Linked DNA regions of Mus musculus. The protein of the gene in region 4 purifies or fractionates together with the protein of the main gene of each other region. This does not show direct contact. Links are inferred from orthologs where the notes say so. Each region holds a gene or a part of one and is shown on either strand. Other genes may lie near its edges.

Region 1 (3,500 bases), on a different chromosome or scaffold from region 4:
TTTATTTCATGTATGTGAATACACCATTGCTGTCTTCAGACACACCAGAAGGCAGCACTGGATCCCATTACAGATGGCTGTGAGACGCCATGTGGCAGCTGGGATTTGAACTCAGGACCTCTGGAAGAGCAGTCAGTGCTCTTAACCGCTGAGCCCGATTTCCTCTATTAGTAAACAACTTAGCATCTCTATTTCTACCCCACAGACTGAAGCTTACTCAACTAGAATGAACACTCTTACCAGTGTAATAAAAGCCTGGACAGAATTTGAATGACTCAGAATAAGAATTCTCGGGTATACACATCTTTTTTTCTTTCTCTTTTTTGGTTTTCTTTTGTTTTCGTTTTTTGAGACAGGGTTTCCCTGTGTAAAGGTAACCTCGATCTCAGATATCTGGCTGCCTCTGCCTTCCACGTGCTGGGACTAAAGGTGTACGTCACTATTACCTTACACATGTACACCAACAACAACAACAAACAAACAGACTGGTATGATGGTGTACACCTTTAATAACAACACTCAGAACATAGAGACAAGCAGATCTCTGCAAGCTGGAAGACAACTAGGGCTACATAGTGAGACCTTGTTTCAAAACAAACAAACAATAAGTAAATAATATATTTGCTATTTTCCTTCCATACATTCACACACAAATAATGACGAAATAAACAAATGAATCTGGGCTTCAATTATTACTAGCCTTAAATCTAATCTCAATGCTTAGGAAAGTGGGCTGGGGTGGCTGGAGAAATGCCTCAGGTTAAGAGTGCTTGTTCCTCTTGTAGAGGACCTGGGTTCAGTTCCCAACATCCATTTGATGGTTCATAATCATCTGTAACTCCAGTTCCAGGAAATCCAAAGCCCTCTTCTAACCTCCATAAGCCCAAGGCCATGCACATGGTATGCATACATATACATATACATATACATATACATATACATATACATATACATATACATATACATATACATATACATATACATACATACATACACCCTTAACAGTAATAGAAATAAATCCATTAAAATCTTTGAAAGAAAGAAAAGAAAAAGAGTGGGCTGAGACTCCTGCTAACCTCTGACCTACACTGACCTGACTGCTATGGCCACTACATATTCAGTAACAAACTCAAAACCTTGAGGAGCCCTGTGCTTTCAGGCATACCATGACAAGCTAGCATGCCCAAGGCCCTGTGCACCATCTCCAACGCAGAAAGATAAGAGATACACTTACATGTTGGCAGGATCTTTAGTATTACCACCAGGTCAGCCACATTGTGTCCTGTAGTCATTGTTCCCTTTTTATATGATCCTACCTGCCGGACTTCTTCAATTTGCTGTTGAAAGGGATTTCAAGTAAGTTTAAGAAAATAAAGGTGTTGAGTCCTCATAGAACCATTTCAGCTGCTTCTAAATACCCAGATTTGGAAGCAGCAATGATAAAATCACATCCCCCAGATAACCACAGAGAGCCCTGGGCATGGCTAGCTGACCAGTGATTTCTCTGTACTTTTCCATTTTAGGCTTTAATTTGGATAACAGACAACTGAAAGATTAACAGGCAAGAGCCAAGTAAATTTCCATACCACCAGAGATACCCTTTCTTAGAATTAAGTCATCAAAAACTCACCACTTCAAATGTTCCTGGGGCCACAATCAAGTTGTCAATCACATTGTTGATTTTTGTCACCAAAGAAAGGATGGAAGCCTGAAAACATCACAAAGCAAAAATACCCTAAGCCAAAAATTACACACAATATATATTTAATGTCATCATCATCACCAGACTCCCCACATACAATAAGAAGGAAGATGAATAATTACACACCCAGAGGAGTTTGGGCTCTGACAGCATTCTTGATGGGAATCAAACCTAAGGGCCTCAAGTGATTACCACTGGCTTATAATCGCAGGCAAGACAGCACTCTCCTTAACCAGAATAGGGTAGAGCGTAACTCGAGGCTTTTGACACAGCCCAAGGAAAGCACATACCTGCTCAGCAGAATTAGGGGCAAGGTCTTGATTCCTCTTCAGCAAGGCTTCACTGAAGGAGGTCTCATCAGGTGCTGGCTTGACCCGGGGAAAAGCCATTTCACACTAGACCAGAAATCAAATCATGTTATTTATCAAAAATAATTCATAGAAGAGGGACTAAAGAGCTGGCTCAGCGGTTTAAGAGCATTGCCTCCTCTTCCAGAGGTCCTGAGTTCAATTCTGAGTAACCACATGGTAGCTCACAACCATCTGTAATGGGATCCGATTCCTTCTTCTGGTGTGTAGATGTATGTGCAGACAGGGCACTGATATACATAAGCTACATACATAAATCTTTTAAAAAAAGGATCTCTGTGAGTTATTTGAGGCTAGCCTGGTCTACGGAGTAAGTTCCAGGACAGCCAGAACTAAGTACAGAAACCCTGTCTTGGGAAGAAAAAAAAAAATTGAGAAAGAAAATACATAAGATTTTTTTTTTTGATACTACAATAGGAAAAGAAAATTGTTATATCCTTGTAATCCCAACCCTTTGAAGAAAGAGACAGGAGAACTAGCAGTTCAAAACCAGCTTCATGAGATCTGGTCTCAAAAATATATAAACAGGACCCAGTGAGATAGCTTGGCAACAAAGGCCTAAGTCATCAATTCTGGGACCCACACAGAAAACTAAATCCTACAAGTTGTCCTCTGATCCATCACCACACACTTGCTGTGGTGTACATGTAGTACTGACTGTAATAAAAAGAACTTCTTAAATATAGAGGGACTAAAGAGATGGCTCAGACTGCTTTTGTAGAGGACCCAGGTTCAATTCCCAGTGCCCACATGGCAGCTCACAGCTCTCTGTAATTTCACTTCCAGAGGATCTAACACCCTCACACAGATTATATATGCATATGTATATAATATATAGTACATATATACATATAGAAAGAGGCAAAACACCAATGTATATAAAAGTATATCATTTTAAAATAATGAAAATAATAATAATAGAGGCTGGAGGGATGACTTAGCAGTTAAAAGCACTGGCTGTTCTTAAAGGGCCCAGGTTCAGTTCCCAGCACCCACATGGGTCTCACAACCACCAGTTAACTACAGTTCCAAGGAATCTAACTCCCTCTTCAGCTTCCTCTGGTACTAGGCATGTGTGTGGTACACATACATGCAGACACACACACATAAATCTTTAGAATTAAAAAAACAAAACAAAAAAAAAACGGGCCAGAGAGATGGCTCAGCAGTTAAGAGCACTGACTGCTCTTCCAGAGAACCTGAGTTTAATTCCCAGCAACCACATGGTGGCTCACAACTATCTGTAATCGGATCTGATGCCCTCTTCTGGTGTGTCTGAAGAGAGCAATGATGTACTCATATATATATATATATTTTTTTTTTTGGTTTTTCGAGACAGGGTTTCTCTGTATAGCCCTGACTGTCCAGGAACTCACTCTGTAAACCAGGCTGGCCTCGAATTCAGAAATCCACCTGCCTCTGCCTCCCAA
Region 2 (4,231 bases), on a different chromosome or scaffold from region 4:
AATCCAGCAAGAAATATCCCCAATGTTAGCACAGTAACAATTTTTGGATAGATAATCCAGAGATGATTAAAATAAACCAAGGCACAAAAAAACCCAATTTTTTGCTAAGAGTTTGGGGAAAACACACAGGTTTACTTTATCAGCTATCAAACACACATCTGCCAGTGTAGTAACCAGGTCCAAACTCTCAACTCTGTTCCACCCTCTTTCTGTTCACAAGCAATCCAACTTGTGCTTCAGTGTAAAACGTTCAAAGATGTCATTCATCATCCTCATGTCCACTCAACAGAAAAGCAGGACAAATTAAGGCAGTTTAGAAAATAACTTCTAATATTCATAATGTGTAATGACAATTCTGCAACAAAGGAAAAACTGCTGTCAAGAATCTAAGGGCACTCTATGAGTATCTGTAAATTTCCAGTAGCTGATACTGAAAATTTTGGTATTTTAATCTCTAATACAAGCTAGAGCTGCCCACACTGCCCTGCTACAAACAATGCCAACAATTTCTTCAAAACCAGAACTCACCTACTAATCCGGCTACTCAGGTCATTGAGTTAACATTTAGTCTAGATAGTAAACTTGCCCTAGGTTCACAGGCCAAGGCTGAACAAGAAACTGCCTTCATCATCAGCTAATGGTGGTTGGGTCTGGGTACTAGCAAGGCAAATTGGTGCCTTGAACATGTCATTCAGACTCTTAGCCAAAGTTAATCTTCTAAATTATCGAATGAATTCTTTACCTACAGACAGCCACCCACTCTGCAAACATTCCGGTACTCCATCTGAGGCTTGCTTCCCCCATCGCTAATTCTAGTTTTGTGTGCTTTGTTTGAGTCTAGGTCTTCTGTGTAGCCCTGGCTGTCCCAGAACTCTCTGTAGTCTACAGATCTGCCTGCCTCTGCCTCCTGAGTGCTGACATTAAATCGTGCATCCATGCCCGCCAATATTTTGATTCTGAATTCTCAATAACCTAAACCATCACAATAAACCAAGCCACTGGGAAACACACTTTGAAGCCGTTCTCACAATCAATTTGTCAGAACAAAACAATTTTCATACACTGAGATTAGATAGTGCATATGTCCGAAAACGGTAACGAAGGGACAATATATAATTCAGTCGTCCTAAGGTCCAAACTGACCGAACTCCCCCTCCCCCATTTTTTTGAGTCAGTATCTCACTGAGTAGCCCTGGCTGTCCTGTGGAAGTATGTAGACCAGGCTGGCCTCGAACTCAAAAGACCACCTGCCTCTAACTCCAGAGTGGTGGGACACTGGGTCCAAACCTAAAGACCATAAAGGGATCACTGAATTTCGCTAAATCAAGTGTTTACTCAAAGTTTGGTTCACATGCCTAGGGCTACAATAACTGCCAAATATGGAATTGGGACAAGAAATTACTATCCTCACTTAGAATTAGTGCATCCTTTTAAACTGCAGCTAATGGTTCCCCTGCCTAGGTACTTGGAACAAGCGAGGTATAGTGTCTAGAATCTAAAAACCAGAAACCTTAAGCTAATCAACTGCACAACAATCACACCCGGAGAGAAGGGGGCAATTTTCCTTGATTCAGATTTGCTGCACGTGTTTTGTTTTTAAGAAGCAAAAGGCATCTCCTCAATGTTTTTTGTGCTTTGGTTTAAAACTAGTTATATCTTGGGAGTAGAAATTGTGAACACGACCCTACAGCCCCCCCCCCCCCCCAAAGCACCACAGGGGTACCTAAATAAATCTGCCCTTAGAGACGCAGGAAAACCTCAATCAGACTCCACTAACGAAATCCACACCATTTAGGGAAACTTACGTTCTTCTCCCCTTGTCCTACCCCAAAGAATAGCAGGGGGAGAAAAGCCCATTCCCAAAGCACTGAAACGTCCTTTTTATTCCTGGGTAACAGGAGAGATTGTCTGCAGAAAAAGGACGTAGGAGACGCACGTTACAGTCCCAGTATCCGAACACGTTCGGGATAATCCGGGGAGGGCGGGGGGAAACGCCGAGCACCCGGCAAGTGGAGCGGCGGCCACCTTCAACCCCGGATTCAGTTTCCGGGCACAGAAATGGTGCCCGGAGGCCGCTACTTTCGCATCTGCGTTGCTTCTGCCTCCGCCGACACGGCCTCCTTCCCCTCCCCCACGGGCGGGGCGACGACCGGGAACTAGGGCCGCCGGCGAGCGGAGGAACCAGGCGGGTGGGCTTCCTACCCTGAAACCGCCTCTGCAGGAGCCCACTGCCCCGCTTCGCGGCTTGGCGCCCGTTGGCGCGCTCTGGGAGCTGGCGGCGGACAGGGTACCCCCGGGCTGCTTCATCCTAGCAATCCCCAGCCCCACCTGTGCCCTCCTCTGCACCACGCGCGCAGGTCATCCTCCTCCCCACGCAGCCTTCCGCTCACCTTGCAGGAAAGGCTCGGCTCTGCACGCACGCACGCACTCTTGCTGGCGTAGGCAGCCGGCGAGAACAATGTTTCCGCCGCACCAACCCCGACACCAAGCGCACACACCGGACGGTTGCCGCGAGCCGCGGAGCGGAGGGAAATGTCCCCTGCCGACCACCACACCGACCGCCCCTCTCGGCCCCCGTACACACCTCCAACCAACAGCGGCGGCGGGCACGTCGCGCGGAGGTCAGTAGTGTCGCGGGATCGGCCGCAGCAGATTCTCCTCCCTCGAAGCAACCCGAGGCTTCGGAATCCGGAGAGCCGCGAGCTCGGGGCCCCTCACAGCCACCTCTTCCCGAGAGCCTAGAGCTGCAACGAGCTCCAAGAACACGGACGTCCCGCCCCCTTTGCCGCCGCCCCCTCTTATTGTTTTACCCCTGCGGAAAGGGCTAGGGAACCCCCCAGCACAGCGCCAGCCAATCAGGCATCAGTTTGGAGAGCTAGACCCAACCTTCTCGCGTCCCACTGCGGAGCACGCGCAGAACGGCGCCGCGCTCGCTCGCTCGCTCGCTCGGGCGTCCGGAAAGCCAGGGAACCGGAACCGGCCTAAAGTCGGGGCGAGAGCCCGCTGATTTGACGTCACAAGGAAGCTGCCTTTCTCTTGCAGTGATGCTGAAGCCTCCCTGTCCTCTCAGGTGGCGCGAACAAAAAAGATGGCTCGCCGCTAACCAGTGGCTTTTACAAACGGTTATTCCTGGAGCCTTTATTCGTGATAAGAGGGAGCAAATTTAGTAATGGTCCTGGTTGCTGCGTTATCGGAGCATTAAAATGCAGTTTTGAACTCTGCACAGTGAGCTCACCTGTATTGCTTAATTAGCCTGTTTTAGGAAATGGAGGTTTAAAAGTCTTTCTCATCAATGTCAAACAGCTAGTTTTAAATAAGGGTGCCGAGCTATGGAGTATGGGGAAAGTATGACATAGGCTGTATGGGCTTGGGGCTTTTGTATGGCCTTGGTGGCTTCATCCTTAAATGGAACTTACTGGAACAAAGGCTGAAAGGCTTAAAATTTAAAAAAGAAAAAAAAAGCCACTTATAAATCTATGCCACTGGGACTTAGTTATGGAAACAACACTGCTTCATGAACCTTGATTCATGGGGAAAAAAAAGCCTTTGTAGACCAAATGTTACTTTGCCACTAATAGCAATGTTTTCAATTTCAAGATAGCAGAAGAAACTGGGAATGAAGCTATGAAACGGTGAAAGGAACGGAAGGGCAATTGAGAGGAATAGAACACATTTTAATCAAGCAAAATGCAGGATTAAATACATCCTCAGTTTTCCCTCACAGTAGAGATTTCCTAGAAGAAGAAAAAAAAAAGGTTCACAAAAGGCAATGCTGATTGGTACTTGAGCCTCCAAAATCTACACTGGCATTATTTTGGATTGCTTAATAATTTTTATATGCAAAATATATAGGCAGACCATCATTTATTAAATGACTCTGAGATGGTTTTTCTTAATGCATTACTTCTGCAGATTACCTTTTAAGTACAGTGTTTATAGACCAGATACGCTACTGGTATTTTATAAAAGTCACTTATGTCTCACAAAAACCCACTTACGTAATTACCTATTTGAATGCACACTTTACAGATGAGGAAAGTGAGACTTACGAGACGGTTTACCCTAAGGACACGCTCGTATTACTCATCTCAGCCAGGCTCGGGGCTACATACCTCTAATCCCAGCACCTGGGAAGCAGAGGCAGGAAGATCACAAGGTCTAGGCTGACCTGGTCTACGAAGCAGATTCTAAGTCAGCCAGGGGTACATAAGGAGACTCTCTCGATAATACT
Region 3 (4,249 bases), on a different chromosome or scaffold from region 4:
ACTTAACTCTCAGGGCTCTGAACAATTTGTACAGGGAAAACATGAGAATCCAAGCTTTTAACCCCTTCTACCAAGTGAAATCCTGTAACTAAGCACTGATTTGTACTTTTTTTGTTCTGCTCACACCAAAAGATATGTTCTTATTAAATACTAAACTGACTTCTTTAAAGGATAAAAATACAAATCTGACAGCTAAAGCCCATTTCATGGTTTGCAATACTTCCTCATATTCAATTGCAACCCAACTGGGTTAAGTAGCATATTTACAGTGCTGCCATTGATACCATTCGCTGCTGAAGAAAGCTAGTGGCTCAGATAGCCCACTGCTGCTGCCCCAGGTCTTTGGAAGAAATCAACTTATGTTAAAGCAGCAGCTACTGAACTGGAATTGAGAACAAAAGAGCAGTTATTGAAAGTTAATATTACAATCCTTAGAATAGGGAATACACTTGTGTGCTAATGGGAAAATCAGTAAGTATTCAACTAGCCCAAATAGCTCACTTAACATAGTTCCACGAGAAAAAACTAAATCATGTAATCTAAGGACAAGTTACAGGCAGGTTTTTAAAAAAACAAGTTTCTGATAGCCGAGCAAAAATTATTTAGTTTTACATCCCCCAAGTACTGAGAAGTTTCAACTCGTAAATATTACCAATTACTAGAGCTTGTTAAATCAATACAACTGAAGTGGTATTAATATTAAACTACTGTAGCCTGAGCATTAAGCTACTACCTTCCTGCTTTAAAATAAGTTTCTTAACTGGTTTTTTCCACTTTAAGATCAACACATTTTTCCTAACACTTAAAACCAATGTTAACACTGCACTTGAAAACTAGCAAAGAGCGGGAAAGTCCGCCTCACTTACAAGTATCAAGACAAACCACTGTGTCATCGAAGTGTTCGTCTTCTTCTTCAACAGGTGGCTGAGGAGACTTGGCTCTGAAAGACAGAATTGTCTCCTGATAAAGCTTTCCCCACCTTGTATACAAAAAGAGCGGGCGACTGTTAAAACTGGGTGAGGAGCCTCTACCTGCTGTACTTGTTTTCTTCGATGTACTCAAAATACCCTCGGCCATGATCTTCTCGCGGTCTTTTAACGCCTCTCTTTTTATCTCCACCTTTCTGTTCTGTTTTGCCGTCTCCTATAACGACACAGAACACCGCCTTAAAGCATCAGGCCGAAAACTAAATAATGCAGTTAAGCACCTTTTGTGTTTCGAGCCTCAAGAGCTGTTACTGATTATTTTTTTCTGACTGATTCTTTGACTTTTTTAATCGACAAATGAAAATAAAAAAGTCTGGACTTGGACTGGACACAGTGACGCAGTCTGAAGACTGAACTTGCCAGCCTACCGCAACCTTCCAGAAAGCATTTTTTAAAAAGAGTTTAAAAAAAAAAAAAGCGGGACACCGCCCGGGCCCACGTGCGCCGGCCGCGCTCAAACGAGGGGGGGGGAAGCCTGGGCCCACCTCCCCTCCCCCACACGAGCCCGCGTGCCCCGCCGCCGCATTGTACTGAGCTTCCGCCCCGCTCCCCGCGCCTGCCGCCGGAAGTGACGTCACCACGAGCCCCTGCGCTCCTTGCACAATACCGCGGCGCTAAGCCGCCAAAGCCCGCCCGCTCCGGGACCTTCGGGCTTCTCCCCTCCCCCCACCGCCGACATGTGCCCGGACCGCGCGCACGCAGCGCCCCAGCGGCCGGCGCTCCCGCCCGGCCGGCCCCCCCACCGCGGCAGCTGCAGCGCTCCCCCCACCCCGGCGCCCGACATACATAATGGAGGCGCCGCCGGCATGGCGAGCAGAGCCTCCCGGGGCTCCCCCGCCCCCACCCTCCCGCGGCGCTCGCCCCGAGGGGCCCCGGCAGGCCTGGGGCACGGTCCCCACCGCCACGCGCACCCATCACGCAACACTCACCCGCCACCTTCCGCCTTCTTACCTCCCGCCTGCTGTTGGCCCTGCCTCGCCCCTGGCGGCGCCACCGTCACCGCGAAGAGCGAGGTGGGGCCGCTGCTCTTGCCCGCGGCCTCCTTGCCGGCACCACGCTGCTGGGAAGGCTGCTGCTGCGCCGCCGCTGCCGGCGGTTGGGACTGCTGCTCCCCGTGACCGTTCTCGTCGCCCGCGCCCTCCTCCTCGTCGCCGAGCTCGTCTTCCCCCTCCTGGAAGCCCTGGTCGTCGCCGTTCTCGTCTTCCGACGCTGCCTCCTCTTCCTCCATCGCGCCGGCGTCAGCCGCCCCCGCCGCCCCGTTCTCCTCGCCCAGCTCCATCTGGTCGCCGTCCAGAGCGGCGATGCCCTCCTCCTCCTCGTCGTCTTCGGCGCCAGCCGCGGCCTCCTGCTCTAGGCCCGCTCCCGAGCGCCCGGCCGCATCGCCACCTAGGTCGAGACTGCCGTTCCCGGGCTCCATGGCGGGGCGGCCTCCTGCCTCGTTGTCCAGCGCGGCCTGGAGTCGATCCATGAGATCGGCCTTGAGGCCCTTGTCGGAGAGGCGCCGCTTCTTGAGCTCCTCCTTCAGCTCCGACACCTTCAGCTTCTTGACATTAACAGGCGAAGAACTCATGTTGAGGGCCCCGGTTCCCCGCTGACTGCTGGCTCCCTCGGCCTGTGGCGGCGGCGGCTGCTGCTGGTCGGCCCGGGCGGCGGCTGCGGCTGGAGATGGCTGAGTGCTGCTGCAGAACGGACCCGCCTGGTGTCGAACGGCGCCAATTCCTTTCACCGAGTTCGCGAGGCAAGACGCGGAGACTCGCCCGGCGCGAGCGAGCACGCAACGTCCTCTCGCAGGGGCGGCGCCGCGCACGTAATATAGGCGCCCCGCCCCCTGCCGAGGCGAGGCCCGCTAGAGCGGCTGCGCGCGCAGGCCCCGCCCCGCCCCCACTGCGCGACCTCCGCGCTGGGCCGGACCGCGCAAATGGAGGCTCTTAGAAGCCACCTTTCGGTTAAACGGACCCGCCGCAGTGGCCGCCGGCCTTTCCGGCTCTTGAGCCGCCGCGCTCCACCGGCGCTCTGCCTTCTGTGTCCTGGCGGAGGCTCTCCTCCACCCGCCTTCAGTCCTCACCTGGCATTTTCCACTCGAGAACAACCTCCTTTCTTCCATCTTAGTTTAGTTTTTTGGTTTTCGGGTTGTTTTTTTTGTTGTTGTTTCTTGGGTTTTTTTTTTTTTGTTTTGGTTTTTGTTTTTTTTTTTGTCCCTCCGGCTCTAGGTTTAAAAAACTCTTCAAGTTTCCACCGCTGCCCTGTAGAACACCCATAGGCGATTGTTATGCAAAGGTGGTGTTTTGTTTAGTTTTTCCACCATTTAACTGCGTTTTTAAATTTTACAAGTCCTGCCTTGCCAGTCGGACTTATTTTAAGTTCCGCAAGGGCGAGGCCAGAGCCTTTCTTTTGTCTCTTCCCCAACCAGTGGTGCAAGGTTTGGGAAAGAGGCTTGCTGTACTCCACCATGCCTAACAGCCATATAGAGCGGGCCTTGTGTTGCTACTCACCGTATTTTCTATTGACCTTTGAGTAAGCCTTAGATTTTCATGGAAGTTCCCCTCGTTGTACTATAAAGATAGGCCTCTGTCCCCTGCAAATCTGATCCACCAGTTTGGAGACCCTTTAATTACAGATGAGGAAGACAGCCAGCACCCAGCTAGATTATGCACTTTGATCCTCTCCCTGTTTTTTCAGCCACTCTAAACATGTTTGTATACCTGCTGACTTGTCTACAAACTGGTAGTAACAAAAGGCTGGGATTTAGTAAAAAAAGAAAACACCTGTAGTTCTATTACTTGGCAGAGTGAGGCAGAAGTATCAAGAGTTAAAAGCTAGCCTGGGCTACTTAGTAAATTCCAGGCTTATCTGGGTTGAATACCAGACCCTATCTCAAAAAAGAAAAGAAAAAAAATTATGATTTGTTTTCTGGCATTAAATATGTTGTGTTCTTGAAACTTTTATATAGAATTTAATTTCTACACTGGGGCCTTCCTGTGTAGATTGCACCCAAGCTATGCTTGGTGGTACATGTGTATAATTTCAACACTTGGGAGATACAGGTAAGATGATCAAGAATTCAGTGTCAGCCAGGCAGGCAGTGGTGACACCCAAGTTTGGCTCCAGCGCTCAGGAAGCAGAGGCACCCCACCCACCCACCCCCATCCCCTCACCCCCACCCCCACCCTGTCTATGAAGCCAGTTCCAGGACAGCCAGAGCTACACAAAGAAACCCTGTCTCAAGCTAAGCAACTAAGCAACTCAGTCAATAAAATTCATTG
Region 4 (4,102 bases):
AAACAAGGACTTAAAAAGGAACCTACAAGTATCCACACTAGTTTATTTCTAAAACGAGGAGTGTGAAGTGATTCATGTGGAAGAGAGCTTCATTCAAAACAGTCACACAGCATTCTTGCCCTCTGTCTCTGCAGGGCAAATCCCTCTGTCCCCCAGAGCACACTCTCAGAAACACTTAACCAGATACACACAGCCCTGGTTTGAATTAACTTCAGGCTTATTGTTTGCTCCAGGTTAGGAATGGGGGAAGACTGAAAAGCCAGCCAGAAACCCTAACCCCACCTTGCAAAACCCAGCAGGCTAACCTCAGTCTTTCCAGTTAAGAGTTACAGAGTCGGGGGGGGGGGGGGGGGGGGGGAGGGCAGGGAGGGAGGGGAAGGGGGGCGCTTCTCCAAAAAGCTTCAGTAGCTAAAATAGCCTGCAAATATTTTGTAAAGTGACAGCTACAGATGCTCTCATAGAAGAGAAATCTCAGTGAAGTTGCAGATTCCCCCAGCCTTCACCGTCTCTTGGTGATTATTTGTAAGCAAAATACACCAAGGGACAGGAGGAGCTGGAACAAAGGCACTGTTAGGAAAAAAAAAAACAACAACAACAAAAAAAAAAAAACAACTTTGGAGTGTTTGAAAGGCCCCAGGACCCCAGCATTCACTGTGTTCCAATGGCCGCTGGCTGGCCAGTGAACCAGGGCAAAAGCAACTGTGTTCCTCCTCCTGTATTAGAAGCGCCCACCACGGCGGACCAGCTTCTCCACATCTGTCCTGGACCTGTCTTCTAAATCCCGTAGGTTCCCAAAGACTATTGGCTTTTGAAACTCGGGCTGCCAGTTGAGACCTAAACCTGCTCTGCCAAGAACATGTAGCTGTGAGAGCTTCCTTGACAGGCTTTTAAAACAGCAACAATAACCCAGAAGCAGGGGCCGCAGGCAAGCCCCCATTTACGTCCCAGAATTATCAACGCGCGCGCACACACACCTGCCATAAACTTAAAGGCAAGCAGAAAAAGAGCTAGCTGAACCGTGGCCCCAGCGTGTAAGCCAAAGGGTCCGAGTTTGCATCTGTGTTCTGTGCTTCCTCCCTAAAAAGCGGCCAGAAAAGGGTAAATCCGCTCACCTCTGCCGTTTAGGGACCGAGTGCTCAACTTCCATCGGTTTCCCATGTAGTTCCATTTTACCTGTGAACACACAAGAGGCAAGACGACGGGCTAAATTCAGCAGCTTTCCCCACCTTGAAATCTACAGTCTTTAAGAGAAAACACACCCTGCTTCAGTGACCTCAGCAGGGCCCCAAGATTCCCACCCGACTCAAGGACAAGGGAGGAGCAGGGCAAGGAGAGGGTGCAGAGCTGACCCTTCGGGTGGGTGTGGCTTTTTAACTTGCAGAAAGCTGGGGAGGGAGAGCAAGAGTCAGGCTCACCACTTGGGTTGCAATTTTCGCCTCCTGACCCCCTCCAAGGGCCACCCCGCACCCCAAGGTCTGCAAGAGACACACCCCCAACAAACAGCCTGCCATGGGGGCGCGCGGCCTTCTTTCTGGTCCACATCCAGGTTGGCCTGGAGCACTGGGCGATGGGATTAAAGAGCCAGGGTGCCAGGAGGAGATTGGGCGGCCGGGGTGCTGGTCCACGCGCGCTGACCCATCAAGGCGCCGGCCTCGAGTCCAGCTGGGGACGGTGGAAACCGAAAGGCACGGACAGCTGCTCTCCCCTCGGGCATCCAGGCAGAGCGCACTCAGACACCCGGGCCGCGGCTGCGCGCACGGGCCGGGACTGCGGCGCCGCGCGTGGCAGGGCTGCCGTTCTGGCAACAGCCGGCCGCCGCCGCCCACCTGCCCCTTTCGCTCTAACGACCCCGCGAGGTGGACGCGGCGGCGTGGAGCGGGACCGCCTGGACGCGGCCTCCCCCCGGGCGTAGGCTCAGGCCACTTTCTGTTCTCTACGGCTGGGGGACAGCGACCAGACAGAGGGCCCGGCGGGCGTCCACGCTGGGCCCCAAGGCCCGCCTGGCCCGGCCTGCAGCACGCGCCGCGCCGCGCCCCGCGACTGACAGCGCGTCCCCCTCCCCACCCCCACCCGCCCCGCAAGCGGGGTCCCGGATGGCAGCTGCGGAGACGGGGAGGCCCCGACCACGCGCGCGGGCCCCACCTGAAAGCGCCTCGATGGCCTTGAGGGCCCAGCCCTCGTCCGGGCAGTCCACGAACGCGTAGCCCGTCTTCACCAGGAAGGGGCCCGCCACCGGGATCTTAGCGTCCTTGAAGACACTTTCCAGGTCCGCGGGGCCGGCGTGGTCGCTGAGGTTCCCGATGTACAATTTGTTCATTGTGAAAAGGGGTCGTTTTAAAACCCGAGGAAAATGCTAAATTAAAAAAAGCACCCACGGCGGAGGATGGAGCCGGTGGATTTTGTTCCTCTCCTCTTGGCTTTCAAACCCACACAGTGACCCAAGCACGGGAGCGGCGGGCGAAAACCAGATCCCAGGGTCCTTTTTCCTCTTCTGGGTATTAAAAAAAAGAGAGAAAGAAAAAGCCTAGCGACGAGCCCAGCGTCGAGTCTTCCTAACTCTGGGGAGGAGGCGGGATTAGCGAGAGAAAGGAGGAGGCGCGGGGGGAAACTACTTTTTGTCTCTTCCTCCCCAACCCCTTTGGCAGCGGCCAGCGGGCTGTGAAAATATCACACTACGTGGGGCAGGCGCCGCCTCCCCGTAAAAAAAAAAAACCCCGAGGGGTGACTGGCAGCGGCGAGGGGAGCGGGGCGGGGGCAGCCGCTCCGAGTGTCCGGCTTTTTGAATGAGCCACGTGTTCAAACTACAAATCAACGTCTCACGTGAGGAATCCCAGCGCCTCAATTAGAGTGGGTTTCGGAGGAAAGAGAAAAAAAAAAAAAAAAAAAAAAAGCGAGAGGGGGAGGGGAAGCGAGATTGGGCGAGGAGGGACCCCGAGCTGGAGCCGGAGCCGGAGCCGGGGAGGGGGTGGAGAGCGTCCAGCCGCTGCAGCCGGCGCCAGGCGCGATGGGCACGGCGAGTTTCCAAAGGGTCCGAGCCTCGGGAGGGTCAGACGAACGATCCTTTTTCCTTAAGATGAGGAAGCGGTTAGGGGGTCCCGCGGTTGCAGTTACCGTAGTTTGTAACCATTCGATTTTTAAAAAATGGGTCACTTAACAACGAAATCTGAATGACAATCTCGAACTCAGTCGGTGGCTCTGATGACCGGGGAAAGTAGAACCCGGGGGCAGAGCGCCGCTCCCCTCGAGGGCCCCGGGGACCGAGCAAGCGGGGCGGCCCGGGCCGGCGTGGGGGAGGGGAGCCGACGTCCTGGGCGGGTGTCTACGCGACACCTCCTCCGCCTGCGCTCCGGGTGGCTCTCCGCCTCGCCGTTCATTGGCTGCTCGGCTACGAGAAGACTCTGGATAAATGAGGCCGGGGGCGGGCTGGCCGCGTGGGGGAGGGGCGCGGGGCGGAGGCTGTGGGGCTGGGGGTGGCCGAGTGGGAAAAGTCGGTACTTAAAGGGAAACCCTCGCTTCCTGTGGTTTTTCGAAGGGGGAGGGCTGGGTGTGGGGGAGGACTGATACTTTTATTTAAATAATTTTTGTTAAAGAACTTGGGACTCTAAGGGAACCCTGTTCAGCGTCAGCCTAAGGTGGCGGCCGCGCTGGGAAACTATTCCTCGGCTCTTTCCGCCTTCCTTTGACTGTGAGAGCCATTCATAATTTTCCCTGTAGGTAACGAGCACAATGGTGGTTGGGGGGTTGGGTCTGGGCCCGGTGGAGCCTTCCTGATCCTACTAAATGTGAGCCGGAGAACAGGAATAGGGAAAAAAGGGCAGTACCCCTGTCCTTGTGAAAACCTTCAACTGTGGCTTAATGGTTGTGTGCTCTACTCAAAGGCTTCAAAGATAACTTGTGATATATTTTTAACAGGCATTTTATGGAAAAGAGAAATTGCCGGGTTTGGATGACTGAAATTAAGCTCTATATAGCCTGAAAATACAGGCAGAAATCTAATGTTTTGCTACTCTCGCAAGTTGAAAAATGTGAATAGAGAAAATATGTGCTTCATACTACAAACGCCTTCAGCAATTGATAATTTGATATGGTGTTCTCTTTCAAA
Region 5 (4,104 bases), on a different chromosome or scaffold from region 4:
CTCTGCCTCCCAGAGTGCTGGATAAAGTTGTGTGTGCCACCACTCCTGGCCCTAACTACATTTTAAATGTGCTGATATGGAAAGAAAAATGTTTTGCCCTTGTGAGGTAAAAATGGCACCACCTCTGTGAATCACAGATTGTCAGCCAACTTCAAGAATTCCCAAGCAGACCATTTCCTTCCTATCCGTCATTCTAAACTGGTTCTCTCTTTAGCAAACTTGCTTTTTCACAAAAATAGTAAGCAGGAAGAAAATAGTCCAATATAAAATCAATTACAAATCAGTATTTTTGTTTTAAAAGAATGACTACAAAACTTTAGGGAAAATGTGGGAATTTCGGTATTGTTCAGGTTTAAGAAAAGTTAACATTCATAAAGAAATGAAGATGTGTTCTACTAAGAACTCACTGTTTTGGGTCTGTCCATAAGAAGAACCATAGCTGCTCTGGCCGTATCCTGAAGTGTCAGCTGACTGGCCATAACCACTGTAACTCTGTTGGCCATAGGGCTGACTGCTCTGTTGGGAGTAGCCCTGCCCAGGCTGGGTAGGATAGGCCCCGTAGCTACAAGAAAACAGACCAGTAATCTTCAACTAAAAGAATAAGAACAAAAGCATACAGAAATACATAAAACTCAAGTTAGATCAATCACCCTTGCTGTCTTCTAGCATCAGACCAGAAACAGTATACTCACCTTTGAGTTGCTTGTTGGGTATAGTCTGTAAAAGATGGGAAAGAAAAAGGTCTTAATTTTAGTTAAGAATAGAAATAAATTCTTCAACTTTTGTACTAGGCACTCCAGATGAAACAAATCTACAAAAACAGGCATAAGTTAGTTCCTCATGAGACAAAATGGCCAAGTTTTATTACAAAAAGCAAAGAAAGCACAAATTTCTAGACACCAATAAGTCTTAGACTTTTGTTCTGGGTAGAACCCAGGGCTTGCTTGGGACCCACTAAACAAGCGACCACTAAGCATGACAGCCACAGAGCTCTGTGGGTGGACTGGTTCTCTATCTAGAGGCAGGGTTTCTCTGCATAGAACTCACTCTGTAGACCGGGATGGCCTCCAATTTAATACATACAAAGCTCCATCTGCCTCTGCCTCCCAAATGCTGGGATTAAAGATGCCCCACATCGGACCGGGCGTGGTGGCGCACGCCTTTAATCCCAGCACTTGGGAGGCAGAGGCAGATGGATTTCTGAGTTCGAGGTCAGCCTGATCTACAGAGTGAGTTTCAGGACAGCCAGGGCTACACAGAGAAACCCTGTCTCGAAAAAAAACAACAACAACAAAAAAAAAAAATCCAACATCATGTCCTTTTTGCCTTTTTTCTTTTTTGAGACAGAAGTCTCGATTATGTATCTATCCCAGAATTCAATATGTAGACCACCTCGAACTCACATAGATCTGCCTACTTCTACCTCTTAGTCCTGAAACTAAAGGTGTGTGCCACCAAACCTGGCTCAATCTTTAAAAAAAAAAAAAAAAAAAAAAAAAAACTCAAAATACAGATCATCCCTTAAGTTTAAAAATCCTTTTGACTTGTTGCAGGTCTTTCCAAGGCCTGCAACACACGTCACCACATTTTATATCTTCACAGCAGCTCTGTATACAGGAAAGGTGGTATCACCGGATGTCAAGATTAACTTTGACAGTCAGCGCTATTACACAGTTGAGTTCAAGCCCAAGGAAGCAGCTAGAAGAATGGGACTCTCCAACCCCCAAATGGCATGGTGCTCCCAAGGTTCCCGACGTGTGGCTCCAAATAACTGAGCTCCCGCCTACCATGCGCACCCAAAGCAGACAGCACTTTCAACAATCTGGGAAGCTGTAGCTCAGCAGCTCCCTGCAGGAAACCCAAGCTCTACCCCCGCACTGGGACAAAACTGACAGCGAGAGGGTGTGGCCTCGGAGAGCGACTCCTCTGATTTCCTTCCGGCCTTAGGAAAACTCAACTCTGAAGTGGGAAACTCAGGCCGGGGTCCCTGACTCCGTTGGTCATCCCCTGGCGGTCCTCCCAATCCCACGGACACGCAGGCCAGCCAGGAGCTTCCGCTCCCGCTGCGCGGCCACGGAGGCGGGAAGAGGTGGCCCCGCCCCTTCCCAAGGGACCCAGCGAGCAGGGCGAGGCCAGCACCGGACCACAAGTCTTCCGCCGAGGGTCTCGCGACAAAAAAAAAAAAAAAAAAAAAAAAAAGAAGAAGAAAGAAAGAAAGAAAGAAGAAGAAAGAAAAAAAGAAAAAAGTAAAAAAAACGGACCAACTCCTGGCGGGGGGGAGGGGGGCCGCGGCGAGAAGGGGGAGGGGCCAGAGGAGCGCGTGCGCGCACCAAGTGCCCGGATGCAGCACTGCGACAAAGCGAGGCCGGGAACGGAGGGAGGGGAGGGGGTGGGGCGAAGCTGCGGAGACCCAGAGCTCCCTCACCCCGGTCACCCCACGTCGCCAGGCAGCGTCTCTCTCAACACTCGACTCAAGTGACCGGGCCAGGAGAGAAAACCCACGGTCTCCGCGCCAAAGGCGCCAGGGGAGCCAAACAAAATGGCGACACCGCCCTCCCCTTCCCTCCACCCGCTGCTTCCCGCCAGAGGTGGGGGAGCCCACTCGCCCGCCACCGCAGGCCCAGCCGAAAGCCAAAAGCCTTGCTGCGAGGGAACGAGGCCTCGCAGGGACGCGCCGTCGCCGCCTCGCGCTCCCACATACCGTTTGAAGCCATGTCCGCGCACGCGCGCAGCGCAGGCCGCCAAGCAACAAAGTTCCAGACGACCGCGAAGCGATGCCGCGAGGACTGAGCGGCCCCGCCTCCCGCGCCCGCCTTAAGTACGCCTGCCGCCTACGCGCCACCGGGACGTACCAAGTGGAGAAGCGCGAGGGGGAGGCACGCCCAGGTCCCCACCCTTCCCCGGGGATACGGAGAGCTCAGGAAGACAAGAGGGAAAACGAACTCGCTTTATTCCCAAACACTCGCACGCGCTTTCTCCTTGCGGCCGGTGGCTCTCGTCCGTCGCCCGGGGCTCGCCTTCGACACACCTCTACCCCACTAGAGGCAGAATGGTACGACCCGGCCTCCCGCTAGGGGCGGTGCCAGGGCCCTGCGCCCGAGAGCGGAACTGTGTAGTCAAGGCCTGGAGTCTCCGGGTGTGGGAACCGAAATCCTTCCGACCGGCCCAGCGGCTGGGCCCCACTTTCACTGGGGAAGATGCAGCATACTTTCGCTTGCCCTGGCCTAGCAACTGAGTCGAACGCAGTGTCGCTCTGGTCCTCCACATTCTCTCCTGACAGACAGCACACTGATCAGTCTCGTTTTTCACTTAGGAATGCCTCGGCTTGCTGTTCTTTAGACCTTAACAAGGTTTATAGATTGTGACGTTTAACCTGGAAGAAGATGAGCTTTAGTCTGGACCCTATGGCCCTAAGGCTGGTTCAACAATAACACATATGTATACAACTTAAGAGGCTTCAAACCCACAATTACCCCCCCCCTTTTTTTTTTTAATTTGGCCTCTCAGTACCGCTCAGTTGATCTCGAATCCTTGATCCTATTTGCCTTAGCCCTGTGCATCCTGGAATTACAGTCGTCCTGGTTTTCCCCCATCATCATCTTGTAAAGAAATCTGAGGAATGTAGCTTAATGATAGAGCGATCGTTTAGCCTGTGCATGACCCTGCCTACCTCTCCAGTCCCGGAGCTAGGCAGAGGTGGAGGGGAGATGGATCTTATGAGAGCAGTGAGCGGCTAGACTAAGAATGTGAATGAGGTACGAGGCAGTTCAGGGTCAGACCTTCTGATCTTTAAAGTCTAAGCCTGGGGAACTACAAAATGCTTCTTGGTTACAGGAAATGATTGAAAGCATTTAAAGGCATGAACACTTTTTGTCAGTTCAAGGACAAAACGAAATTCAAGGGGGTTGGAGAGACAGCTGCTCTAGAGAAACCACAGGTTCAATTCCTAGTACCCGAATGTGGGCAAACAACCAACTGTAATTCCAATACCAGGGACTCTGGGATCACAGAGATCAGGTAATTCATTTTGCAATGAGTAGGTTAGGATGGGTCTGAGGGAATGACATTTCTACTGGGAGTTTACCAAGTGGATAAGAACAAAAA
Region 6 (4,131 bases), about 2.3 Mb from region 4:
GCATAACCTTTAAATCCAAAAGATAAGCATTTAATTTCCCGGCATTAGGTAGCAATATAAATTAGAATGTATTGATACTGGTATTCCCTAGTATTCACACCCAAACATACAGCCAGACTTTCAGAGTTAACGTACGTACCACACAGTCTGTGAGCTTTCCCCATTGCTCATAGTAGTTTCTCAAACTTTCTTCTGTGGTTTCAAAGCTTAAGCCACCAATAAAGAGCTTTCGGAACTGTTCCTTTTCTCTCTGCAAAGGGAAATACCATTTCAATTTTTATTTACACTTTCTTTGTATGCAGGAAATTAAATTCTTAAATATGAGGTGACCTGCTGGTAGAGTACCTTTTTCCTCTCCAAAGGAACAGTTTCTAAAGTTTTCTGGGGGGGAGAAAAAAAACTTACATCAAATTTAAACCATATGTTAAACTGCATATTAGTTGTGTTACACCAAAAATTGCCTGAGCTATACAAGTTTCAAAGTCACTAATATTCGATCTAACTTCTAATTCACGTAAACTTTCTTAGATTTTCTTCAAAAAAATTCAGAAAAACCATACCCAGCTCTTAGGTCATTTAAAGGGTATTAAAGAATTCTTTTGTAATTCATTAAATTCTACAACCCAAGTCCAAAATTTACTACTTTTTAGATTTAAAAAAAATTTAAAAAACCTGTTTCCAAATTCACCACTTCCAAGATTCAGTTTCTGAAAAGTGGCATATTTGCTTTTCCCTGAGCTGCCCCCTCTGGTGTTAATTGTAAGTATCTCAAGATGAAAAAAAAAAATCCTGCAACTCTGAAACAAGCTCCATGAAGAATGCTGAAACTCCAGATATCACCTTAAATCTGGTTTTGTCAGGCACTTAATACTGGCTTTCCAATAGCTAAGTACAAAAACTTATCAAGATGTTCATAAATTAGGTCATACTATCCAGGACCTATGACTGCACAACGAAATGAAAAAGCAAAATTATAAAACAAATCCGTTATTTTACTGTATAGCCTAAATTTGTAAGTTTCTCCAAAATGTGCTCAAAAAGCCAATGTTTACAATTTTTAGGTTTTGAAATGTTTAATAAAAACGACCAAAATTGTTTTAAATAGTCAAAATAGTTACAAAAGCCTTAATCAGGACTCCAAATAGTGTTTCTGGTAGCTCTACTAAAATGTCAGTAAATTGGCTTTCCTTAAACTAAGTTGCAAGTATTAAATACACCTTGTTTTTTCATATCACTAACGAAAGCAAAAGCTCTTTACTTACCTCGGGTTTTTTCCAAACTTACCAGACGTCCACTATCGATTATAAACAAGGTTATTTTATTTATAAGTGTGCTTAGAGTCAAAGAAAATAACCAAGGAGACCCCTTTCAATTCGAAAGCTAATGCTTATCAGTGTAATGATGCATCATAATTTCAAACAAATAAAAAATAAAAAAACCGAATGACCACGCTCAAACACTGTGACCCCAAACTAAGTTTTTATATAGCCAGGACGTGGATTTTCGTCCACTGAACCAGGCTTTAAGCGAAGGCTAACTATGAAAAGTCAGCTATTTCACTTCCTTAAAGTGAACACCACGTGCTAAGGATCCGTTGACTTTACCAACAAATTCGAAGATTCCCTTAAAAATGCTTATAATTTGAATTATTTCGATCCGAGGATCCTTTAAGCAGATAAAAGTTCTGCAATAAAAGGAAAGTAACCCTGCACTCAACATAGCCTCCCTAGCTTCCTGATGAGCGCTCCCATTTTTTCCACTTTGACTTCCTCCTACTATACTAATGCTCAAGTGCTTTACTACAGCACCCGTAATCTTACGTATTATGAAAAATAAAACGGTCTCTTTGCAGCGACGCTGCCTTCAGCCACCCGCCCAGGCCTCGGTTGTACTACGTTCTCTCTGCCTGTTCCAGTAAAGCTCGTGGAGCGCCGCCACCCCGCCCCCACCCCGCGCCTCGGTGGCTTCAGAAAGCAATGGCGCCATTTCGTCGAGGGGAAGGCAGAGAGCCTTTAGCGAGGTGCGCAGGACGCTGAAGACCCAAGCTCAAAACGCTAAATCCACCTCGAAACGGTATGAAGACTTCCAAAAGAAAGGAAAATCGCTAAACACGTCTACGCAGTGGTGAAAAAAGAAAACCAAACTAGTAAACCTAAAGCGTTGAAAGCAAAATCGTGGCGAGGAAGGAGACGGGAAAATGGCGGCCGCCAAATCCGGTTCCCGGGAGAGGGGGGAGGGGAAGCTTCGCAGACTCGCTCCGGGAAGCCGGGGGGGCCCCAGAAACGTTCCGCCGCGAACACAACCGAGCCCCTAGGCCCGCGCACATCGAAAGGCCAGCGATGGCCCGCTCACGCGCTACTTTAGCGGTCCAGCCCGGTCGCGGCGGGCACTTCCCATCCCCCACCCCAACTGAGGGAAATGGCGCCGGGCGGCTGAGGGCGGGGAAGGCGGTCGGACAATCAGAGGCCTCCTCCAACGACCCCTCAGAAACTCGCCAAGGCCAACCGCCACTCGAGTGGCCGCATCCCCTCCGCCGGACCACGGAGGCGGGTGGCCGGTTTCCATTGCGGTGCCTACGGCCTCGCCATGCCATTTTTAATAACTCATTGATTTCAAACCCGTTACCTCCATCGCGGACTCAGTCGCTTCAGCCCGATTTCCCGCAGCCGAGCGAGATGAGAAAGACCTCCGCGGACGGACGCGCACGGGACTCGTCCTGGCGCTGTGGGGAGAGCAGGCGATGGCCAAGAAACTGGGCCGCAAAGGAGCTCCTGCACACGGGACCGGCGCCGCTGCTACTGCCGCTGGAGCCGAGACCGCCGCTTTTCTAGAACCTTCCCCCCACTAACGCGTCTCCGCTTACGTCACGCCGTTACGTAAACGCCCTAACCGCCGCCAATGGCGGGAAGGGCCTACACTCTCCTTACGCCAAGTACGTGACACTCCCCCTTTAGGTACAGCGGGACTGCTTTACATCACTTGCGCAACTGTGTTCCGTGAATTGCGGAAGGCTCGCGCTCGGCGTGTTACTACGTCCGGAACTAGGTCCGGCCCCCACCTCCGCGTAGGGAGCGGAGAAACGGTCGCGCAGTTTGAAATAACGCCGTCGGGAGGGGCTTAGGCCGGCGCTGGGGCGTGCGGCCCTCTCCACCCAAGCGTGCTCTCTGCAGCTACGCCTTTGCCAAGCCCGTCCGCACAAATATTCTCGAACCACACAAATATTTCTACACGTCCCAAAGGGGTTCTCACTCGGTCCCTCCCAGAAGGACTTTTAGTCCAAGTACCACCCCGGATGCCACAAGCCTTGGGATCCCGCGCCTAGTGAGAGGTGGTGCTTAAAGAACCCCGCTGTTTATCTCCCCGGCCTTCAAGATCCGGGCAAGGAGGTGGGTGGAGCCCCGCTTTGGCGCGCTCCGAGACGCAGAGAGGCCTCCGCGGTCCTTCCTGCCCGCCTTCCCCCCCCTCCCCCCAGCCAGGAGACCCCCTGGGCGCCACGCCGCGGACGGTGAGCATTGCGCGCGCCGCCCCCCGCAGGACGCGTTCCCGGCGGGCCCCGCGCGGCCAGGGCGTGGGCGGTGCTCCCCCTCCCCCCCGGCGGAGCTGCCCGCGCCCCCTCCCCTCGGATGTGGCTGAACCGAAGCGCGCAGGCGGGAGACTCTGCAGGATCCGCGGCCCTGAGCATCGGAGCGGTGAAGTTCGTGCCTTTGCTTTTTTTCGATCTTGCGTGTGGTGGGGTTTAGGATGCTCCGTGCGTCCGAGCTTGCGGGGAGGCTGCGAGCCCCGTGGGCCGCGGGCTGCGGGAAACCGGCTGGGGCCTCGCTGAGGCGGGCGCCGCGCCGGTGCGTGGGGGAGATGGGACAATTGTGCATGAGGGTGGGAGCCGGATGACAGCTACCGAGACTCCAGACAAAGCGCGGGCCTCCCCTCCCCCAGCCTCGTCGCAGGCCCGCAGGGAGAGAGCGGTTCAGGCTCTGCAGCTGCGAGGCCCGAGGCTCCGGGCTGCGGCGCGCTCCCGGCTACGTGGCCGCCGCCGGATGGGGGAGGCGCGGGCCCGTGGCGCAGTGCCCTTGAGCCCCCGCCGCCGCCTTTGTTTCTCCCCGCGGAGGCGCTGACCACGAGGCCCGCGCTCTC
Region 7 (2,820 bases), on a different chromosome or scaffold from region 4:
TTGTCATCAATTATGACTACCCTAACTCCTCAGAGGATTATATTCATCGAATTGGAAGAACTGCTCGCAGTACCAAAACAGGCACAGCATACACTTTCTTTACACCTAATAACATAAAGCAAGTGAGCGACCTTATCTCTGTGCTTCGGGAAGCTAATCAAGCAATTAATCCCAAGTTGCTTCAGTTGGTCGAAGACAGAGGTTCAGGTAAGGATCTTCGTAAGAGATGTTTCTGGTAGGTGGCAGTTACCTCTTGTCTACAAAGTGGGATCGGAAGAATGAGTACTTCTTATTTTGAAACCTAAAGAATCTAAAAGCACTTAAGACCCAACATAAATAGAGCTATCTAACTCTCTCCTATCTTACCACACTTATGCCACAGATAAAAATTGATCAATTTCCACTTACTTTCTTGACAGGTCGTTCCAGGGGTAGAGGAGGCATGAAGGACGATCGTCGTGACAGATACTCTGCAGGCAAAAGGGGTGGATTTAATACCTTTAGAGACAGGGAAAACTATGACAGAGGCTACTCTAATCTGCTTAAGAGAGATTTTGGGGCTAAAACTCAGAATGGTGTTTACAGTGCTGCAAATTACACCAATGGGAGCTTTGGAAGTAATTTTGTATCTGCTGGCATACAGACCAGTTTTAGGACTGGTAATCCAACAGGGACTTACCAGAACGGTTATGATAGCACTCAGCAATATGGAAGTAATGTTGCAAATATGCACAATGGTATGAACCAACAGGCATATGCATATCCTGCTACCGCAGCTGCTGCGCCTATGATTGGCTATCCCATGCCAACAGGGTATTCTCAATAAGACTTTAGAAGTATATGTAAATGTCTGTTTTTCATAATTGCTCTTTATATTGTGTGTTATCAGACAAGATAGTTATTTAAGAAACATGGGAAATGCAGAAATGACTGCAGTGCAGCAGTAATTATGGTGCACTTTTTTCGCTATTTAAGTTGGATATTTCTCTACATTCCTGAAACAATTTTTAGGTTTTTTTTGTACTAGAAAATGCAGGCAGTGTTTTCACAAAAGTAACTGTACAGTGATTTCAAATACAATAAATGAAGGCAATGCATGGCCTTCCAATAAAAGATATTTGAAGACTGAATTAAGTGAAATTGTACTTTATTTTACATATATAATGTCATGTACAACTTGGCTTAGATAGTGTTTTTGGGGGGGATTTTTGTTTTGGTGTTTATTTTTACACAAGGAAAGTTGACTACTTCCCATTCCTGGATTTAGGAGAGGAACTCAGAAGGCCCTTAGGATGATCTGTTTGTATGGGAAGAAGTTAGAGACAATGGATTTTATAATTCCAGATTTATTGGATAAAAGCTTTGTCATTTTTCAGTATCAGGGAAGTAAGTCATTTAATAGCCTATTTTCCTTAAGAGTGAACTACAGGACAGTAACTATATAAATACATGTTGATTTCTTTTGCAAAACAGTTTTAAGTAATGACATTTTTGCTTTATCAAAATTTTATTCCATCTCTTGGTTTTGTTGTCAACTGCCGAAATGTGCGAAGCTGAAAGACTGTTAGCCCAAGAGCTGTGTGCACTGTGTCTTTAGTGCAGGATTACCTTGTAGGTTCCTAGTCCTCGAGGACTTGCCAGAGTGCTTATAGCCACACCTGGAAGTCAGGAATGTCTCCACATTATTTCAGGGGATTTTAGGGGTCTTGTAGGCTAGTCACAAGGAAGACGACATAACCAAAAGCACAGTAAAGTTTTCGGGTTAGGTTCACTATGGGCTTAACAGCTAGAAGGATTGGGGGGAAAGCTTTAGATTTAAGTAGGATCACCAGCAAACAGCTTTGTTTCAGAATGGCTATAAGTAGGTCTAAATGTCTTCCCAAAAAATTGGTGTGTTTTTTGCCCAGGACAAAAGTCTTAAAGGAAGTTATTTAACTTTTTGTTTTTAAAATGGGCTTATTGTTAATGCCTTATTTATAAAATGTTAAAACAAAATAGAATGTGCTGGGGGTGGGAGCTGGGCGTGTTTTCCAGGGCTGATAACATTGAAAACTGGTTCATCCTCTAGTACTGAGTGGTTTTCAATGGCATGGCTAGTCAGATTCATGATTTTTAAGTATAGGTGTAGATTGGAGCATTTATTACATATTTTACTGTTCAATGTCTTAATGTGGACCTTTTATTTTGTAAATAATTATGGAAATGATTGTGGGGCTTGGAAAAAATTACCTTTGAAGTTTTAAAAGACAGTCCACTTTTTAGCATGTGTGTTGTGTCCAGCCTGTGGTTGTCTTAACTAATAAATGTGATTTTTCTCCCCATTCTCTTCATTTATTTATTCGCGTAGAGGCCTCTTACCTGGGTTTTTGCACCCCCGCCTTCCCCATTCCAGCTATCCTGGAATTTGATACATAGGCCAAGCTGGCCTTGAAGTCAGAGATTGTCCCTTATGCATATGTTAACATAGGAGTGAGCTACCACAACAGTCCTGCACCTTATAATCAAACTCCAGTATCAAAAACACCCCTTTGTCCTAGTCAGGTATTAACTGATTTCTACGAGAAGGGAAGTACAGAGGTTAAGAGCACTGCTCTTCCAGCAACCATACGGTGCCTCACAACCACCTGTAGTGATGGCCTCTTCTGGTGTGTCTGAAGACAGCAACTCACAAATCTTTAAAAAAAAAAAAAAAAATTCTTTTTAAGGAGGTGGTTAATAAATTCCCGAAGCCCTTTTTAAGACCTGGTCACCCTGTCTGTCCAGCCACACCCGGGAGAGAGTGGAGTGGCCATTGGTGATAATGTTTGCCAGCATTAGTAT

Evidence for each region.
Region 1: the proteins of Igf2bp3 (region 4) and Ilf2 purify together in Homo sapiens (affinity purification with mass spectrometry; 3 studies listed by BioGRID and IntAct, counting the BioPlex papers as one, with this or other methods). This does not show direct contact. The link is inferred for Mus musculus from reciprocal best matches to the Homo sapiens genes IGF2BP3 and ILF2.
Region 2: the proteins of Igf2bp3 (region 4) and G3bp2 purify together in Homo sapiens (affinity purification with mass spectrometry; 3 studies listed by BioGRID and IntAct, with this or other methods). This does not show direct contact. The link is inferred for Mus musculus from reciprocal best matches to the Homo sapiens genes IGF2BP3 and G3BP2.
Region 3: the proteins of Igf2bp3 (region 4) and Hnrnpu purify together in Homo sapiens (affinity purification with mass spectrometry; 3 studies listed by BioGRID and IntAct, with this or other methods). This does not show direct contact. The link is inferred for Mus musculus from reciprocal best matches to the Homo sapiens genes IGF2BP3 and HNRNPU.
Region 5: the proteins of Igf2bp3 (region 4) and Fus purify together in Homo sapiens (affinity purification with mass spectrometry; 3 studies listed by BioGRID and IntAct, with this or other methods). This does not show direct contact. The link is inferred for Mus musculus from reciprocal best matches to the Homo sapiens genes IGF2BP3 and FUS.
Region 6: the proteins of Igf2bp3 (region 4) and Hnrnpa2b1 purify together in Homo sapiens (affinity purification with mass spectrometry; 4 studies listed by BioGRID and IntAct, with this or other methods). This does not show direct contact. The link is inferred for Mus musculus from reciprocal best matches to the Homo sapiens genes IGF2BP3 and HNRNPA2B1.
Region 7: the proteins of Igf2bp3 (region 4) and Ddx5 fractionate together in Homo sapiens (co-fractionation; 3 studies listed by BioGRID, with this or other methods). This does not show direct contact. The link is inferred for Mus musculus from reciprocal best matches to the Homo sapiens genes IGF2BP3 and DDX5.

What each region holds. Positions count from the first base shown.
Region 1 is NC_000069.6:90,479,201-90,482,700, reverse strand, and holds part of Ilf2 (interleukin enhancer-binding factor 2), read right to left. Parts: intron 2,098-3,500; coding exon 1,993-2,097; intron 1,709-1,992; coding exon 1,631-1,708; intron 1,338-1,630; coding exon 1,235-1,337; intron 1-1,234. UniProt on the Homo sapiens protein: Chromatin-interacting protein that forms a stable heterodimer with interleukin enhancer-binding factor 3/ILF3 and plays a role in several biological processes including transcription, innate immunity or cell growth.
Region 2 is NC_000071.6:92,080,945-92,085,175, forward strand, and holds the start of G3bp2 (ras GTPase-activating protein-binding protein 2), read right to left. Parts: upstream 2,801-4,231; 5' UTR 2,630-2,800; coding exon of another isoform or gene 1,928-2,629; exon of another isoform or gene 1,806-1,927; intron 1-1,805. Other genes in the region: uncharacterized protein Gm46933, read left to right, coding at 1,928-2,629.
Region 3 is NC_000067.6:178,335,016-178,339,264, forward strand, and holds the start of Hnrnpu (heterogeneous nuclear ribonucleoprotein U), read right to left. Parts: upstream 2,801-4,249; 5' UTR 2,557-2,800; coding exon 1,938-2,556; intron 1,144-1,937; coding exon 1,032-1,143; intron 941-1,031; coding exon 867-940; intron 1-866. UniProt on the Homo sapiens protein: DNA- and RNA-binding protein involved in several cellular processes such as nuclear chromatin organization, telomere-length regulation, transcription, mRNA alternative splicing and stability, Xist-mediated transcriptional silencing and mitotic cell progression.
Region 4 is NC_000072.6:49,212,155-49,216,256, forward strand, and holds the start of Igf2bp3 (insulin-like growth factor 2 mRNA-binding protein 3), read right to left. Parts: upstream 2,801-4,102; 5' UTR 2,318-2,800; coding exon 2,143-2,317; intron 2,022-2,142; exon of another isoform or gene 1,543-2,021; coding exon of another isoform or gene 1,491-1,542; intron 1,174-1,490; coding exon 1,113-1,173; intron 1,107-1,112; exon of another isoform or gene 1-1,106. UniProt on the Homo sapiens protein: RNA-binding factor that may recruit target transcripts to cytoplasmic protein-RNA complexes (mRNPs). This transcript 'caging' into mRNPs allows mRNA transport and transient storage.
Region 5 is NC_000073.6:127,966,175-127,970,278, reverse strand, and holds the start of Fus (RNA-binding protein FUS), read right to left. Parts: upstream 2,801-4,104; 5' UTR 2,715-2,800; coding exon 2,702-2,714; intron 718-2,701; coding exon 693-717; intron 563-692; coding exon 408-562; intron 1-407. UniProt on the Homo sapiens protein: DNA/RNA-binding protein that plays a role in various cellular processes such as transcription regulation, RNA splicing, RNA transport, DNA repair and damage response. Binds to ssRNA containing the consensus sequence 5'-AGGUAA-3'.
Region 6 is NC_000072.6:51,467,046-51,471,176, forward strand, and holds the start of Hnrnpa2b1 (heterogeneous nuclear ribonucleoproteins A2/B1), read right to left. Parts: upstream 2,801-4,131; 5' UTR 2,632-2,800; coding exon 2,626-2,631; intron 382-2,625; coding exon 346-381; intron 251-345; coding exon 140-250; intron 8-139; coding exon 1-7. UniProt on the Homo sapiens protein: Heterogeneous nuclear ribonucleoprotein (hnRNP) that associates with nascent pre-mRNAs, packaging them into hnRNP particles.
Region 7 is NC_000077.6:106,779,856-106,782,675, reverse strand, and holds the end of Ddx5 (probable ATP-dependent RNA helicase DDX5), read left to right. Parts: coding exon 1-207; intron 208-419; coding exon 420-826; 3' UTR 827-2,320; downstream 2,321-2,820. UniProt on the Homo sapiens protein: Involved in the alternative regulation of pre-mRNA splicing; its RNA helicase activity is necessary for increasing tau exon 10 inclusion and occurs in a RBM4-dependent manner. Binds to the tau pre-mRNA in the stem-loop region downstream of exon 10.